2 linked regions of the Notamacropus eugenii genome follow. The protein of the gene in region 2 purifies or fractionates together with the protein of the main gene of each other region. This does not show direct contact. Links are inferred from orthologs where the notes say so. Each region holds a gene or a part of one and is shown on either strand. Other genes may lie near its edges.

Evidence for each region. The genes of interacting proteins can lie anywhere in the genome.
Region 1: the proteins of RBM19 (region 2) and FBXW11 purify together in Homo sapiens (affinity purification with mass spectrometry; 3 studies listed by BioGRID and IntAct, with this or other methods). This does not show direct contact. The link is inferred for Notamacropus eugenii from reciprocal best matches to the Homo sapiens genes RBM19 and FBXW11.

Annotation. Positions count from the first base shown.
Region 1 is NC_092872.1:403,849,777-403,856,680, reverse strand, and holds the start of FBXW11 (F-box/WD repeat-containing protein 11), read left to right. Parts: upstream 1-3,897; 5' UTR 3,898-4,025; coding exon 4,026-4,070; intron 4,071-6,904.
Region 2 is NC_092875.1:32,094,780-32,102,758, reverse strand, and holds the start of RBM19 (probable RNA-binding protein 19), read right to left. Parts: upstream 3,004-7,979; 5' UTR 2,814-3,003; coding exon 2,778-2,813; intron 1-2,777. UniProt on the Homo sapiens protein: Plays a role in embryo pre-implantation development.

The sequences.
Region 1 (6,904 bases), on a different chromosome or scaffold from region 2:
TGATCATACCATCTCCTTGAGAGCTTGTCCTATACCTCTCCTCTGCTGCATAGCCAAACTCCTGGAAAATGCCTTCTTTAAGCCATTGACTCTGTCTTCTCCACCCCTCCACCCTCCATTTACTTTTCAGTTCTTTGCAACTGAAATCTAGCTTCATCACTCAACTGAAATTGCTCTCTCCAAGGTCACCAATGATCTCTAAATGACTACATCTAATGGCATACACTCGAATCTCCCTCATTCTTTTTGACCTCTCTGCATCAGATTCTACTGCCCATCCCTTCCTCCTGAATACTCCTTCCTCCCTGGGTTTTGAAGACACAGCTTTCCCAGATCTCTTCCTACCCTTTTGTCTGTACCTTCCAAGGGACTGGACCAAAAAGTGTTCTTAATCTGGAGTCCAAAAACTTTTTAAAGAAATATTTTGATAACTTTTTAATCACAACAAGATGTGTTCATTAAAGTACCTACTATGTACCAGGCATTGTGCTAAGTACTGGGGTTTTTAAAGAAAGGCAAAAAACAAAACAAAAACCAAAAACAAGCCCCAGATCTCAGGGAGTTCAGTGTAATGAAAAGACAACATGCAAATGACTATGTACAAATAATCTTAAGTAGTTAAATTGGAGATAATCAACTGAGGGAAGGTCTTTAGGGAGGATTAGGAAACATTTCTTATAGAAAGTAGGATTTTAGTTGGGCTTGAAGGAATCTAGGGAAGCCATGAGGTAGAGGTAAGGAGGGAGAGTATTCCAAGTAGGGCAGCCAGCCAGAAGTGGCATGGAGCTAGACTTGAGTATCTTGTGCAAGGAACAGCAAGGAAGATTGGATTGAAAAGTATGTGGGGGTTGGGAGGGAGGGAAGATCTCCAAGGTAGGATAGTTATGAAGGTTATGAAGGCCTTTGAATATGAAAGGATTTTAAAATTTGATCCTGGAAGTGATAGGGAGCTAATGGTGAAGGGCGGGGGGAAGGGAAGGTGATATGGTCAGACTTGGCATTTTAGAAAGATCACTTTGACAGATGAATGGAGTAGGGACTAGAATTGGGAGAGATTTGGGGCAGGTCGCCAATAAGCAGGCTATTGCAATGGTCCTGGCATGAGATGATGAGCGCCTGCCTGTACCAGGATGGTGGCAGGATCAGAGAGAAGGGGCCAAATTGGAGATATGTTACAAAGATAAAATTGACAAGCCTTGGCAATAGATTGTGAATGAGGGTGAGAGGAATAAGTCAAAGATAACACCTAAACTGATGCTTTGGGGACTGGGAAGATGATGGTACTCTTAAGAGTAATAGGGAAGTTAGGAAGAGAGGAGGAGATTGTGGGTGGTGTAACACTTACAGGTGGTAGGAGATAATGAGTTCAGTTTTAGATACGTAAGATTAATATGTCTACAGGACATCCAATTCAAGATGGGCAGCAGGCAGTTGGAGAAGTAGGACTGGAGTGCAAAAATATTTATAGCAGCTCTCTTTGTGGTGGCCAAGAACTGGAAATCAAGGGGATGCCCATTAGTTGGGGAATGGCTGAACAAGGTGTGGTATATGAATGTAATGGAATACTAATGTGCTATAAGAAATGATGAATGAAAGACTTTAGAGAGGCCTGGAAGGACTTAAATGAACTGAATCTGAGTGAAAGGAGCAGAACCAGGAGAACTTTGTACACAGTAACAACTACAGTGTGCAAGGAGAGGAATTTTTCTGGTAGACTCAGCCCTTCACAGCAATGCAAGGACCTAAAAAATTCCCAATAGACTCTTGAGGCAAAGAGTGTTCTACATCCAGAGAAAGAACTATGGAATTGGATTGCTGAATGAAGCAGACTATTTTCTCTTGTGTTTTTTTTTCTCATGATTTCTCCCATTCCTTTTAATTCTTCCATGCAACATGACTAAGGTGAAAATGTATTTAGTAAAAATGTATGTGTAGAACCCATGTAAGATTGCATGCTTTCTGGGGAAGGGAGGGGAAAAAGAGGGAAAAAGGAGGGGGTGGAAGGGGGAGGAAATCTAAGATTTATGGAAGTGATTGTAGAAAACTGAAAACAAATTAATAAAAAGAGAAGTGGGACTGGAGGTCAGGAGAGAGATTGGATCTGAAAATCATCAGAAGAAAAGATTACTGAAACTACTGGAGTTGATGAGATCACTCAGTGAAACAGTACCTAGGGAAGACAAAAAAAAAGGGCTCATGACCACACCCAGATTTAGTTATAATTGGTTTACTTTGTATAAAGGTGATAGTGAAACTATCCCATTTGGTTCTGATCCCCATAGTAGATGAGAACGTTTTGATTCAATCAAACAATCAGAACTGAGTTTGAACTGGCTCCTTGTGAGAGATTGGATCCCACTCTTTATCAATTTGTATAAAAGGAAGAAAGTAGAATTGGGATGAGTGAGTGGAGAAAGATTCTGAGCCACTGGATTCAAGAGGTTGGAGGAGCAAAGGGAATACTGAACAGTGGAAGACAAGGAAGTATCTAGGAGAATTGCATCTTGGAGAAGAGGACCCAGGATGAGTCAAGTCCCAATCAAAGGTCAGCTCTATAGATATTACAGTATAATCTCCTGTTTCCTTACCCAAACGTCTCCTGTAAAATGAACTTTGCCTCAACCACTAACCAAGAGTTAGAAAGAGATTTAACATAAGGTTAGGCAAAAAGCCTATATGTCAGGAATTTTCTTAACTAGGGCTCTTTGCACTTATTACTGAACTCTGAACTTTTCATCTAAAACTTTGTAAAGGTGAAAGCACCAAATGCACTTCAAGAGCCATAATATTTCCTTATAAGTTTAAAAATGAGCTTGCTATTAAAACATAATAGAAAATTTATTGTGCTAAGCACAAAAAATAATTTATAACCACATATTCCATATCATGCATTTAAAATCTTATTCTGAGACTGGATCAGTAGTTTTCATTTTTGTATCACAAGGATCGACACAAAAAAGGTTAAGGATTCCTGGGCCAGCTGATGTCTAAAGTCCCACTAGCGCTGGGGAACTGCATGCCCTCGGGCCCCTCCACCCATTTATTCCCCCTTCAGCATGCAGCGAGTGAACTTCCACCTCGCAGGGCGCAGAGCCCGGTACCTGCCAGTTCTCTGGTTCCTGCCTCCTGCCAAGGCCCGACCCAACATCCTCCACAAACCAACTTCTCCCTGCTCCCGCCCGCCCCCATTTTGCTACTGGGTACCTTCCCTATTCAGGCCCATACGACTCTAGACCCCTCCAACATAAAGAACCCCACAACCCAACCCTTCCTGCTCCGGGGCCTGATTCGCCCCTGGGGTTCCCCCGACACGAATTATTCTAGGTCACCCCTTAATTAAGCTCCGCGGCCCTTCTTCGGGGTGCCGGAGCGAACGGGGACAGATTGCGCATGTGCGGAAACTAGCCGCACGCGCAGGGCCTCACTGACTGTTAAGTCGTCTTGGAGTTTCCGCTCCTGTTTTAGGACTACGGTTTCCGACAGTCATCAAGGTACCCAAGTAGTTTCGGGGAAGCGCGCCGGAAGCACCGAAACCTACAAGGCCCGACCGCAGAGGCTAGTGGGATGTGTAGTTCATGAACGCCTCAATAACTCTCTTTACTCAGGAACCCCAATTCTGCCCAAAATGTAGCGGTCTTAACTCCCGACGAACAGAGTCAAGGTTAGGGCGTCCTCTGGAAGCTCAGGCTTAGGCTGCATTCGCAGGCGAAGGGATCAATCTAGAGCCAGGATTTCAATCCCAGGAAGCTCTGCGGCGGACAGGCCGCCCGGCTCGGTATGCCCTGTAGTTGGGCGCGGGGCTTCCTGGGAGCTGTAGTCCCCGAGTTGCGTTACGGCGTTGGCGGAGGGGAGGGCGGAGCTGCCGGCGGCCCGGGCGGGCGGGCAGCTAGAGAGAGTGCGATCGCCGCTGCCGCCGCCGCCGCCGCCGCTGCAGCCGCCACTATCGCCGCAGCCGCCGCCGCCGCCAGCTCCGGGGCCGTTCGCCGCTGCGGGGAGCGAGAGGCGGAGGCGGGGCGGGTGCCGCGATGGAGCCCGACTCGGTGATCGAGGACAAGACCATCGAGCTCATGGTGAGTGCGGCCCCGCCGGACCCTCGGCCCCGGGCCTGCCCAGCGCGATCGGAGGGCCCGAACCCTCCCACAGCCCCGATTCCGCCTCCCCTCCCCCCAGCACTCCCCGACGGAGGCCTGTCCTGGCTCCCCCCGCCCTCCCTTCCCACCCGATTCCTCTTCGGGTCTGATCTTTTTCTCCATTTCCCCTCCCTACTCCTGGCTCGCCGACCCGATCCAGGGATCCCCCTCCCCCCTCCAGTCCCCACTCTTGCTCCCGAGGACCCGTTGCCTGCTCCCTGGCCCGTGACCCCGACCCGCCGTCCGGGTGATCTCCCCTCCCCCATCCTGTCCCCTTTGCCCCTCCCCCCGCCTACCCCCACCAGGCAAACACACGCCCCCAGCACCCCAAAGGGTCTTCTTTCCGACCCCTTCCCCCTCAAATCCATCCTGGCTGATCCACCTAGTCCGGAGCCTTGGGCCGCCCCGCCCGGTCCGAGCCTGCACTCTCCCCCTCACCCCCATCCCTGCCCCCGCTGCATTTCTCGTGATTCCCTCCCCTTTTCCCCTCTAGACTAAGAGAGAGGTAGAAGAGAATGGAAAAGGAGGGTCAGGGAAGCCCCAGTCGCCATTGCTTCTCATCCTCCTCTTCCTCAAGCCTCGGAGGCCTCAGTGCACCCCCTTTCTCCTTCACCCTCAGTCTTGAAGTAGCTAACCCTCGTCCCCCCCGACCCGAGTAAGAGCGCAGAGTCTGTGAGTGCTCCGGATAATCGGTTGGGTGTATTCCGGGAGCTCGGTTTTCTGGGAGTGACTGATTTATAGCCCCGGATCTCCCGGGCTTCTCTGGTGACTGGATTATTGGGGTTGATCCGGACAAAGGGCTTCTGACATTCTGCGGAAATCCCGGCAGCTGCTTCACGCTGGAGGGCTCAGAGGCTTCTCTGAGGATACAGTATTTTAACTGAAAGGAAGAGTAGCTGTTTACTCATTTTTTTCTGTGTTTGCAGGGACAGTGAAGCCCTGATAGGCCCTTAGTACCTTCCAACTATTCTGCAAAAGCAAGAGGCTATGACTAATTGATGGGGTAAATCAGCCTTGTATTAGAAACCAGTGCGGGGTTAGGGAGCAGAGCTCCAGGCCTGGGGAAAGTGGATCTGGAACCAAAACAAGTCTTTGCAGAAATGGGTGACAGGATGGTATAAGGAAGAGTAACAGTAGTAGAAGTGGAGCATTTTAAAATTTCTTATTTCTCCCATGATGACTGACTGAAAGACGTATATATGGCAGGTGGTACCTGCCAATTTTAGCGGCTGAGGAAATCAATCATAGGGAATATGCTGGGTGGATAACTTAGTGCACATTCACCAGTATTTTAAGGCTAGTTTCTAGTCTAGGCTGTATTAGCTTCTCTACCCAGCACTTTTGCTACAGAAACCTTGATGGTTTCTTTGTATCTAGTCTAACAGTAACAAGTTTTTCCCTGAGTTGAAGGAAAGGAGGACAGAAATCACTTGTCAAATTATATCAGAAGGTTTTCATAGTCAGATTTTTCTCAATTCATGAATGCCTATTGAGTCAAAGATTCCACTAGGTAGGGTCAGTGACATCAGAGCCACTTCCACATTTAATGCTATAAATAATAAATGGTGACTACTCTGAATGCCCTTTGGATAGCTACCCAGTTTCAGTAGATGTTGATATATTAAGGACAGAGCCACATTTTTTTTTCAGATGGAAGTACAGTAGCTTAAATATGGAGGTAGCTCAATATCTACTGTCTTTTTGCTTTATTTAGATAACTAAATTTCCTCAGTGCTTTGAACACTAGAACCAGATCATTTTCCCCAGAAAGTTTTCAAAAAGTATATTTGTATAGTATATTTGTGGCATTAAAAAAAAACAAACCATGATATCGATCATTTATTGAGTAATTTTGCTTTTTAGCAGTATTTTATAGCCAGCAGTAATCTATTTAGGCATTTGATACACACTTACAGTATGTTATTCTGGCAAAAGATACTGTAACAAGGACTACCACTCATATATACTTAAACAGTATAAACATTTAAGATTGAAATTTAAGTCTAAACTTTTAAGCAGAATTTTTCATATTGAAACATTGTGAAACAAAAATGGTTTGATTAGGCTGATAATGAGCTGCATATCTTGGTAACTGAATACTTATTTTTTAAAAAAACTACAAATCATCTGTTTTCCTAATTACTTGGTTAAGTATAAATGAAGACCAACATCTTTATGTTAAAATGAACTTTTCAGTCTCAAAGCCTAAAATCTTAATCTTCTAAGGTTCAAACTTTAGACCACAAAAGTTTTTGACTAATGTGACAGTACTTGTCTCTGTTCTAACAAGACAGCCTTCTAAAGCTAGTGAAAAAAAATAAAAGCAAACTCTTTACCAGATGTACAACACATCTGGATATTCATAGAACATGTTTAATAACCCTAAAGCTATAAGGGGGTGCAGGTGGGGGTGGGGTAGAAGCTTCATCTAAGACTTTGCTGTTCTTTGTGGGATAAACTAGTTAAGACTATTAAAGCCTTTCCTCAAAGCCTTTTTTTTTGTACTTGTGTTGGTATATTAGGGCAGGTAAATATAATATATTTAAAGCTTGAGTGACAGTATCTACTGATAAATTAGAAATAGTATCAGTGGATCATTGCTTGAGACTTTTCTTTGGTTTATATTGGGGCAGCATCCTCATTCTATAAATAAACAGATCTTTTACACCAGTTTTTAAATTCTTTAATTGATAAGGAACTGTAGAGAACCCAATCGATCTACTACTGTGAAAGTTTAAAAAACCCAAAGCAGGAAAGTTTGTTTTATGAGTCCA
Region 2 (7,979 bases):
TTGCCCTTCTTACTCCAGTTTCAGCTCTTCCACTCAGGCACAGTGTGTGGCTATAGGCAAATCAATCACCTTCTCTGGTTCTCAGATTCCTCCTCTGTAAAAATGAGGTTGATCGAGTCCAAGGATTAACCTTTTTGAGTCCTAGACTCTTTGGCAAACTGGTAAAGTCTACGGACCTCTCCTTGGAATGTTTTTAAATGCATAAAATAAAACACATTATATATGTGTGTGTGTGTGTGTGTGTGTGTGTGTGTGTGTGTATCTATAGCTACAGAGAAATATATCTACACTTAATTGTAGCCTTGAGTGGGGGGGGAAGATCAGAGTAAAAAGTACCCAGCAGAGAACAAAAGAAAACTTACAAGGAAGCAAAGAAAAGATGGACAGCTCTTAACACAACATGTAGTATTTATCATACAGGCTTTCTTGAAATGAAAATTTGTTGATACATATTTTGCATCCTCTCTTATGTTCTGCTATGCACATGACATGCTCTATGTTCTGCTATGCACATGACATGCTTTATGTTCTGCTACGCACATGACATGCTTTATGTTCTGCTACGCACATGACATGCTTTATGTTCTGCTATGCACAACATGCTTGTTTTCTTTCTTGCTTTGTATTTAAGTTCCAACATTTAGGTTTATAATGTTTTTTTCTTTCTGTATTTGTGTTTGGGTGTTGAGTCTAAAATAAAAATTCAAAATAAAATAAAACACACAATTATAAAGGAAACAATTCTAAAGAAAAACAGTTACCAAAAGTTTTTTAAAAATCAAGTTCATAGAACTCCTGGCTTACATGATCTCTAGGCTACAGATCTCCATTATCTATTACAGGGCATGGTACAGTAGAAAGAACCCTGGCTTTGGAGTCCTGGGACCTACATTCAAATCCTGGCTGAGCCACTTAGTACCATCCCCTGGGCTGGTTCAGTTTCATCAACTGTAAAGTGAGAGACTGGACTAATAGAACTCTAAGGTCCCTCTCAGGTCTAGATCTAAGAGCCTATCCTTCCTCCCAGACATTCATAAAGCTGGGAGCTCTCCTTAGGGTATCGCAGGCGGCAAGTAGGTGCTGTAATGTAAGGCTGGAATATCACTCACAACTCTAGAAGAAACCACAGCGGAAAGATCTGAAAATCTGAAGATTTAGGGAAGGCTTGACAGATAGACAGAAAGTGCTATAATTTCAAAATGTGCCAACTCTACCAACGCTGGTCCAACCTCAGGCTATTTAGATGACACAGCGCACTTCTCTGAAATGCCCAATTCTATCTTATTGTTTTAAACTCCCATTGGAAAGTGCTCTGAGGTGACCAAGAACACTAACGTAGTATACTTTCATCACTAACGTAGTATACTTTCATCTCGCAAAAGACCAATCAAACTGAGAGAAAAAGGACCCTTTGAGGCACCAGGAATAGAGCACCACCATTCTGCCAAAGGAGCCACCCTTCATGTCTCCTCAAAGGCATAAAAAGCATTTCCCTCACTGTACAATTCATCCTCCCTCTAACTGCCCTACCCCTGCCTTCTGTACAGAAGGCACTTTCCTATGCCAGAGATGGTACAATAGCTTAGGAATGTTGAGGACCATTACCTTGAACAAAAGCCCAGTCACTGAATGGGGATGGAGAAAGGAACTAAAGCAGAACAGAAATTCCCAGTTAAGACTCTTGACAATCAGGGATGCATCGTGTAGTGATGGGAGCAGACTAATGAACTAGTCCACTTCAGGAGTTTCCTCCAGCATAAAATGATACTATTGGATTAAATGATTCCCAGCTCTAGATTCTGCGATCTTGGATCCAGTGAATTGTTTGGATGGGAGACAGGAAGTAACAATAATTTACAGTCCTGTAATACCTGTTACATAATAACCCTACTTACTTTCCAAGATCGGTAACTTTGTATCAACCAAGAAGCAAGTACTTATTCGGTGCTAGGTACTACTGTGCTGTGCTGGGGTCTAAAATGAAAACAGTCCTTGCTCTCAAGAAGCTTCCATGCTGCAGGCAAACAGACAGGAGTTAAGTGGGGGCACTCCTTCTACCAGATTATATCATTATTCACTTACATATAATATAAATTTATTATTTTATATTTATTTATCATCACCATTTTGATGTCACGATCCTCCTCGAGAATGAAGGACAAACACAACAAACTATTCCTAGACTCAGAAGATAACCATAGCTGAAAGAAAGCATCACCCTGTGATTCGCTTCCCAAAAACAGACTACCATGGTCTACACTATAGGCAAAGTGCAGGGTGCAGGGGACACCACGGGCACTAGACTGGGAGTTAAGACAACCTAGAACGTGTTATTTACTAGCTAGGAGAAGCTGAGCAATCGATTCATCATCGAGCACTTGTTAAGTGCCTACTATGTACCCAGGGTCACCCCCAGGCTACAAAGCGGCATCGGGAGACCACAGTGACCGTGAAATTGGGGATATACTGTCACCCCCACTTCACGGATGAGGAAATTGAGGCTTAGAAAAAGGAATCTTCGGAAGCCACCTAGTTCAACCCCCTCCCCTCATTTTACAAAGAAGGAAACTGAGGCCGAAGGTTAAGCGCGTAGATCTTAGCTGGAAGAGCTTGCCAAAGGTGGGCTTCGACCCCCAGGTCTCGGGGTCCGGTGATAGGCCCGAGAAGCGGCGGATGGAGGCAGACCGCCGGAATGAACGCAGGGTACAAGACGGGGCCTCTCCCCGCACCCCGAATCCTCCCACCTCCCCTAAGGAAACCCCAGGAGTCGTGCTCACCCCGCTCGGCAGGTTCTTGACGATGAGTCGCGACATGGCGACAGGCTGCGCGCTTCGGGCTCCCCCGGCAAAGCGTTCACGCTGCTTTCCTGGGCGCCGCCATCTTGCTCCACCCGAAACAGAGTCACGTGGCACGCCAAGCTTTGCCGGAAGCGGGTGTGACGCCACATCAAGCCACGCCCCCCCCCCCAGGGCCAGAGGGGTGGGGCGGAGACGCTCGCCGGGAGAGCTCGCGTGTGCGCAGGCGTGGGGCCGCCGAAGTAACCAACCGAACCTGTGGGGAGGAGGTACGGCCAGCAGAGGGCGCCTAGTGCCCCAAGGGAACCCAAGGAGCTGCTTGTGTTTGTGTGCCCAAAGACCATGACGTCAGGGAGAGGATGACCAGACTCGCATTTAAGTGCGCCTGGAGGCGCGGACATCGAGGCCGCTGGGCCCTGGGCGGGAGGAGAACCCGAGGCCTGGGAAAGGCCTCCTGTGGAAACCGGGGAACCAACCAGGCCAAAGCCGGGAGTCTCAGGCGAGGATCCCGCTCCTCCGGGAACACCGTGATCAGCCTACACCAGCGCTGTCTCCCACCTCTGCGCCTTTGCCCGGAACATGGCGCATGCCTGGAATGCCCCAACACTCACTTCAGCCTCCTGGTTACACTCTGACGCCCTTCAAGCTTCGGTTCACAGCCTTTCCCAGTCCTCCCCAGTGCCCGCCTTTCTCAGATGACCTCCCCTCTCTTCTGTGTGTACATAAATCTTGAATCTCCGTGTTCAATCCTGGCCACTCTTTGGTTTTCTTGGTAGATATTGGAGTGGTTTGCCATTTCCTTCTCCAGCTCATTTTACAGATGAGGAAACTGAGGCAAACGGGGTTAAGTGACTTGGTCAGGGTCACCTAGCTAGTAAGTGTCTGAGGCTTGGAGACCTGGTGTCTATCCTCGCTGACATCTAGCTGCTTGAATCCACCTAGTTTCCCCTAGTAGAATGTAAGTTCTTTGAGGTCTGTTTTTGCTTTTACTTCCATCCCCGGCACTTAGTTCAGTGCCTGTCACATAGTCAGTCAACAAGTATTCATTAGGTGCTTCCTGCATGCCAGGCACACTTAATATAAACTTGCTGACTGATTGACTGTTGGATAATGTTCTGAGGACTCTCCCAGCACTGACACTATGATTCTGTGTGGGGGGAATTCAGAACATTTACTTGCTGTATTTCCTAAGTTTATTCAATAGCAAGCTGGTTTGTAACTTATTGAGAAGGGGGTAGTGAAGCCCTTCCCTTTTCACCTTGCTCCCTAGGTTTGTGATTCTACCCCCTCCCTTGCAAACTATATATCTACCAACATAGTCTGCCCAGGGGAGGATCTATGGATGCCAGATTCTCAGATTACATATGGGAGGAAAATCCAACCTAATCCGTCCCAATCTGATAAATCTCCAAGCCAGGAACACCCCAAGTCACGAGGAGGAGGAGCATCTGGGCCCAATTAACTCCTCACCCAGAGAAACAGGCCAGATGCAGGAAGAAATGCTGGGAGGGGCCGAAAAGAGAAACAAAAAAAGAAACAGGTGGGCCATGGGGAGGGAAATTGAGATTTTAGAACTTCTGGGGACCATGGAAGATAAAATGTGCAATGTGGGAAGGATTTTAGGACAGAGTATTAGAAGTGGGAGGGGCCCTAGAACTTAGAATGTGAGAGCTAGGAAGACCCTTAAAACAGAATTTCAAAGTTAGAAGAAGCCTTAGAACAGACATTGTTTTGGCTGTGTCAGACCCAGGGGTGTGCTGGGGTCAGATCTAGCCATCCTGAAAGAGCTGATAGTTAAATTTTCCATGTCATCATACCTAGGAAATTGACAAAGGTTAATTTTTCTTTATTATTTTTGTTGATTTTCTAGATTTAAGAAAGAATTCTTAATGCAGATTAAACTTGAAAGTATATGCAAACTTATTCTTCATAGGAACTGTGTTGATAAATGTTCACTAGCTTACCCCTGTGCAGAGCTGAAGAAATCTTAGACACCATATTATCCAACCCTTCCCTTTTACATGTAAGGATTTAGAGACTCTGCATTTCGAAACAACTTACTTGCCCATAGTCACAAAGCTCAGGACTAGAGCCCAGCATTCCTTGTTATGGTGTCCTACCCTCGTATACTTCCCACTCCACCATGATAAGTAGATATCACACAAGATGGCTCCAGGACTAAAAGCCTAAATATCCCATGCAAGAAAAATATCAATTTATTTTGTCTGTATGAAAGACCATGCTGGGCACCATGGAGGAGGCAAAAGAAATATCAGAGCCAGTCCCTGATTCTAGACAGATTACTATTTAGATGGAGAGTCAAAAACACCATGTATTTCAATGAGTCTATGATCTCCTTCAAGTGGATGTGCCTTCTAACTGTGCAGGTCACGACCCATCCAAGCCTTCTCATCCTGCATCACATTGTCCATTAAGGGTCCTTCTAGAATTCCCAGCCTTCCTTTTGAACACCTATTGTGTGGATAACAGTAGGTGGTGCAGTGCATAGAGTACTGGGCCTGATGGCAGGAAGACCTGAGTTCAAGTCCAGCTTCATACACAGCTGTATGATTCTGGGCAGTTCAATCCACCCTATTTGCCTCTGTTTCCACATCTATAAAATGAGCTGGAGAAGGAAATGGCAAACCACTCCAGTATCTTTGCCAAGGAAACCTCAAAAGGGATCATGAAGAGTCAGACATGACTGAAAAATGTCTGAACGACAACAAATTAATACAATGACACATGACAACTAGGTGGTGTGGTGGGTAGAGCATTAGAATTGGAGTCAGGAAGACCTGAGTTCAAGTCTTACCTTTGACACATATGGACTCTGTGCTCCTACACAAGTCACTTACTCTCAATGCTCTAGCTGCCTCTCTAAGATTATAAATTGCAGAACAGGTTTTAACTTTGCATTGGTAGAAAGAATTTCCCCATCTGGGAATTCTCAAAATTTTGAAATTTACAATGAAATTAATTAAAATTAAATCAAAGGTCCAGTCCATACCTCTATTATTATGATGAAAATTTCCTTATTTTAGTTTGATGGACAGGGACAAGCTGCCATACTACTTGTGTATTTAATGTTCTGTGGGCTATTGCTCAGGTCTACAAAATGGGTGTTCTTGTAAGTAAATACAATTGTTAAAATAATAATAGCAGTTATATAACACAGGTTTGCAAAGCATTTTATGAATATTACCTCATTTGATCCTCACAATAATCATGTTCTTTTTAATCTCCACTTTACAGATGAAGAAATTGAGACATATAAAAGTTAAGTGACTTATCTGCAGGAGGCAAGATTTGAACTCAGGTCTTCCTGACTCCAGGCCCAGCTTTTTATCACTGAGCCACCTGTCTGTAATTTGTATACCTTGCAGTACTATATAAATGATACTTCATCATCATCATCATATGCAAACAATCTCTTTTTCTTTTAATCCAACTTGAATTTTCATTGTTTTGTACTTCTTATGACAATAGACTATAAATGACCAAAAACGTTCACATATTCCAACTTCAGCAACCCTCTCTTTCCTCTGATGCTCTAAATGATGTGGTGGATAGAACACTGAACTTGGAATCAGGACGTCTGGAGTTTGACTTAAGTAAGTCTTAACCTCAATTAAGTAAGACTTAACCTGCCTTGGTTTCATTTTCCTCATCTGTAAAATGGATAAAATTGTACCTACATCATAAGGTTGTGAGAATAAAATAACACATGAAGTGATCTGTAAACTTCAAATGCTATGGAAATATTATTTTCAAGACTGTACCAAAGTGTTTAACTGATAATAAATTGTTTATCTTGTTCTTTGCACTTCTCTGACTCCTTAGATTACTTTAGCTTTGTGGCTTTTTGCTTTCAATTGCTGATTAAGGGAATGTAGAGTATCTGATACATGCTTTTTTTCCAAATATTTGGAATATATTTCATTTCACATATTGGGGTTTTGTTGTTGAAACATGCATTGGGCAGTGCATCATTCAAGTTTCCCATATGTGTCCCAGTTGGACGTTAACGCAATCTGCCAGTGCCTTTGCACTTTAACAGTTTCCCTAACTCCTTTCTGCCATCATGGCATTTGACAGCTGTTCTTATTCCTAGATAATTCCACCTCTCCTCCTAGGGTCTTTCTATGTCAAAGGACATTGCACGCACTATCATGTGCAAGTCCTGAAATGTTTTTATACTTTTGGTCAATTATTGTGAGAGATTGTATTTGTTCATGAGAGTCAGAAAAAAAAGATACCTTTTTTGAATTCAAGTTAAGCCAGCAAGTATTTATGAAGTCTTCAGTATGTTCCAGACACTGTTAAAAAACCCCACAAAAATGCAGCTCCTGCTCTTAAGTAACCCACAGTGGGGAAGACAATGTGCAAACCCTTACGTACAAATGGGATACATACAGGATACAGATCATCTCAGAGTGAAAGCAATAAGATTAAGGCAGAAAGGGAAAGTCTTCCTATAGAAGGAAGGACTTTAGCTGGGACTTAAGAGAGCCAGGGTAATCACCTTAGTAAATATACCTTAGTAAAAGGAATCCAAAAGTCAAAGATGAAGAGGGACAGAATTCTAGTTATGGGGGATAGCCAGTAAAAATACCCTGAGTAGAGTTATAGTGTGTTGTGTAGCTTAACAGCAAGGAAACTATTATTACTGAATTACAGAGTTCATGGAAAGGGAAGAAGGTATAAGAAGACTGGAAAGCTAGCAAGGGATCAGGTTATTAAAACCGTTAAAAGCTCCCAAAGAGGATTTTATATTTGATCCTATAGATGACAGGGAGAGAGCAGAGGTTTGGTTTGGTTTGGTTTTTGAGTTGCAATCATTCCTGCATTTTCAGTTTGACAGCTGAGTGAAGGATGGACTGGGGTGGGGAGAGACTTGAGGCAGAGGCCAATCAGTAGCCCACTGAAATAGTCCAGGAAAGATGTGATAAAGGCCTACACTGGGTGATATCAGGGTCAGAGGGAGAGAAGGTGGCATATGGGAGAGATGTTACAAAAGTAGTCGCCAGAACTTGACAGCTGGTTGAATGTGAGGGGTAAGAGAGGGGAAGGAGTCAAGGATGACACCTGGATTGTGAGCCTGGTTGACTTGAAGGATAGTGGAATCCTTGTCAGTAATAGGGAAGTGAGGAAGGGAGGAAAGCTTGGCAGAAGAGATAATGA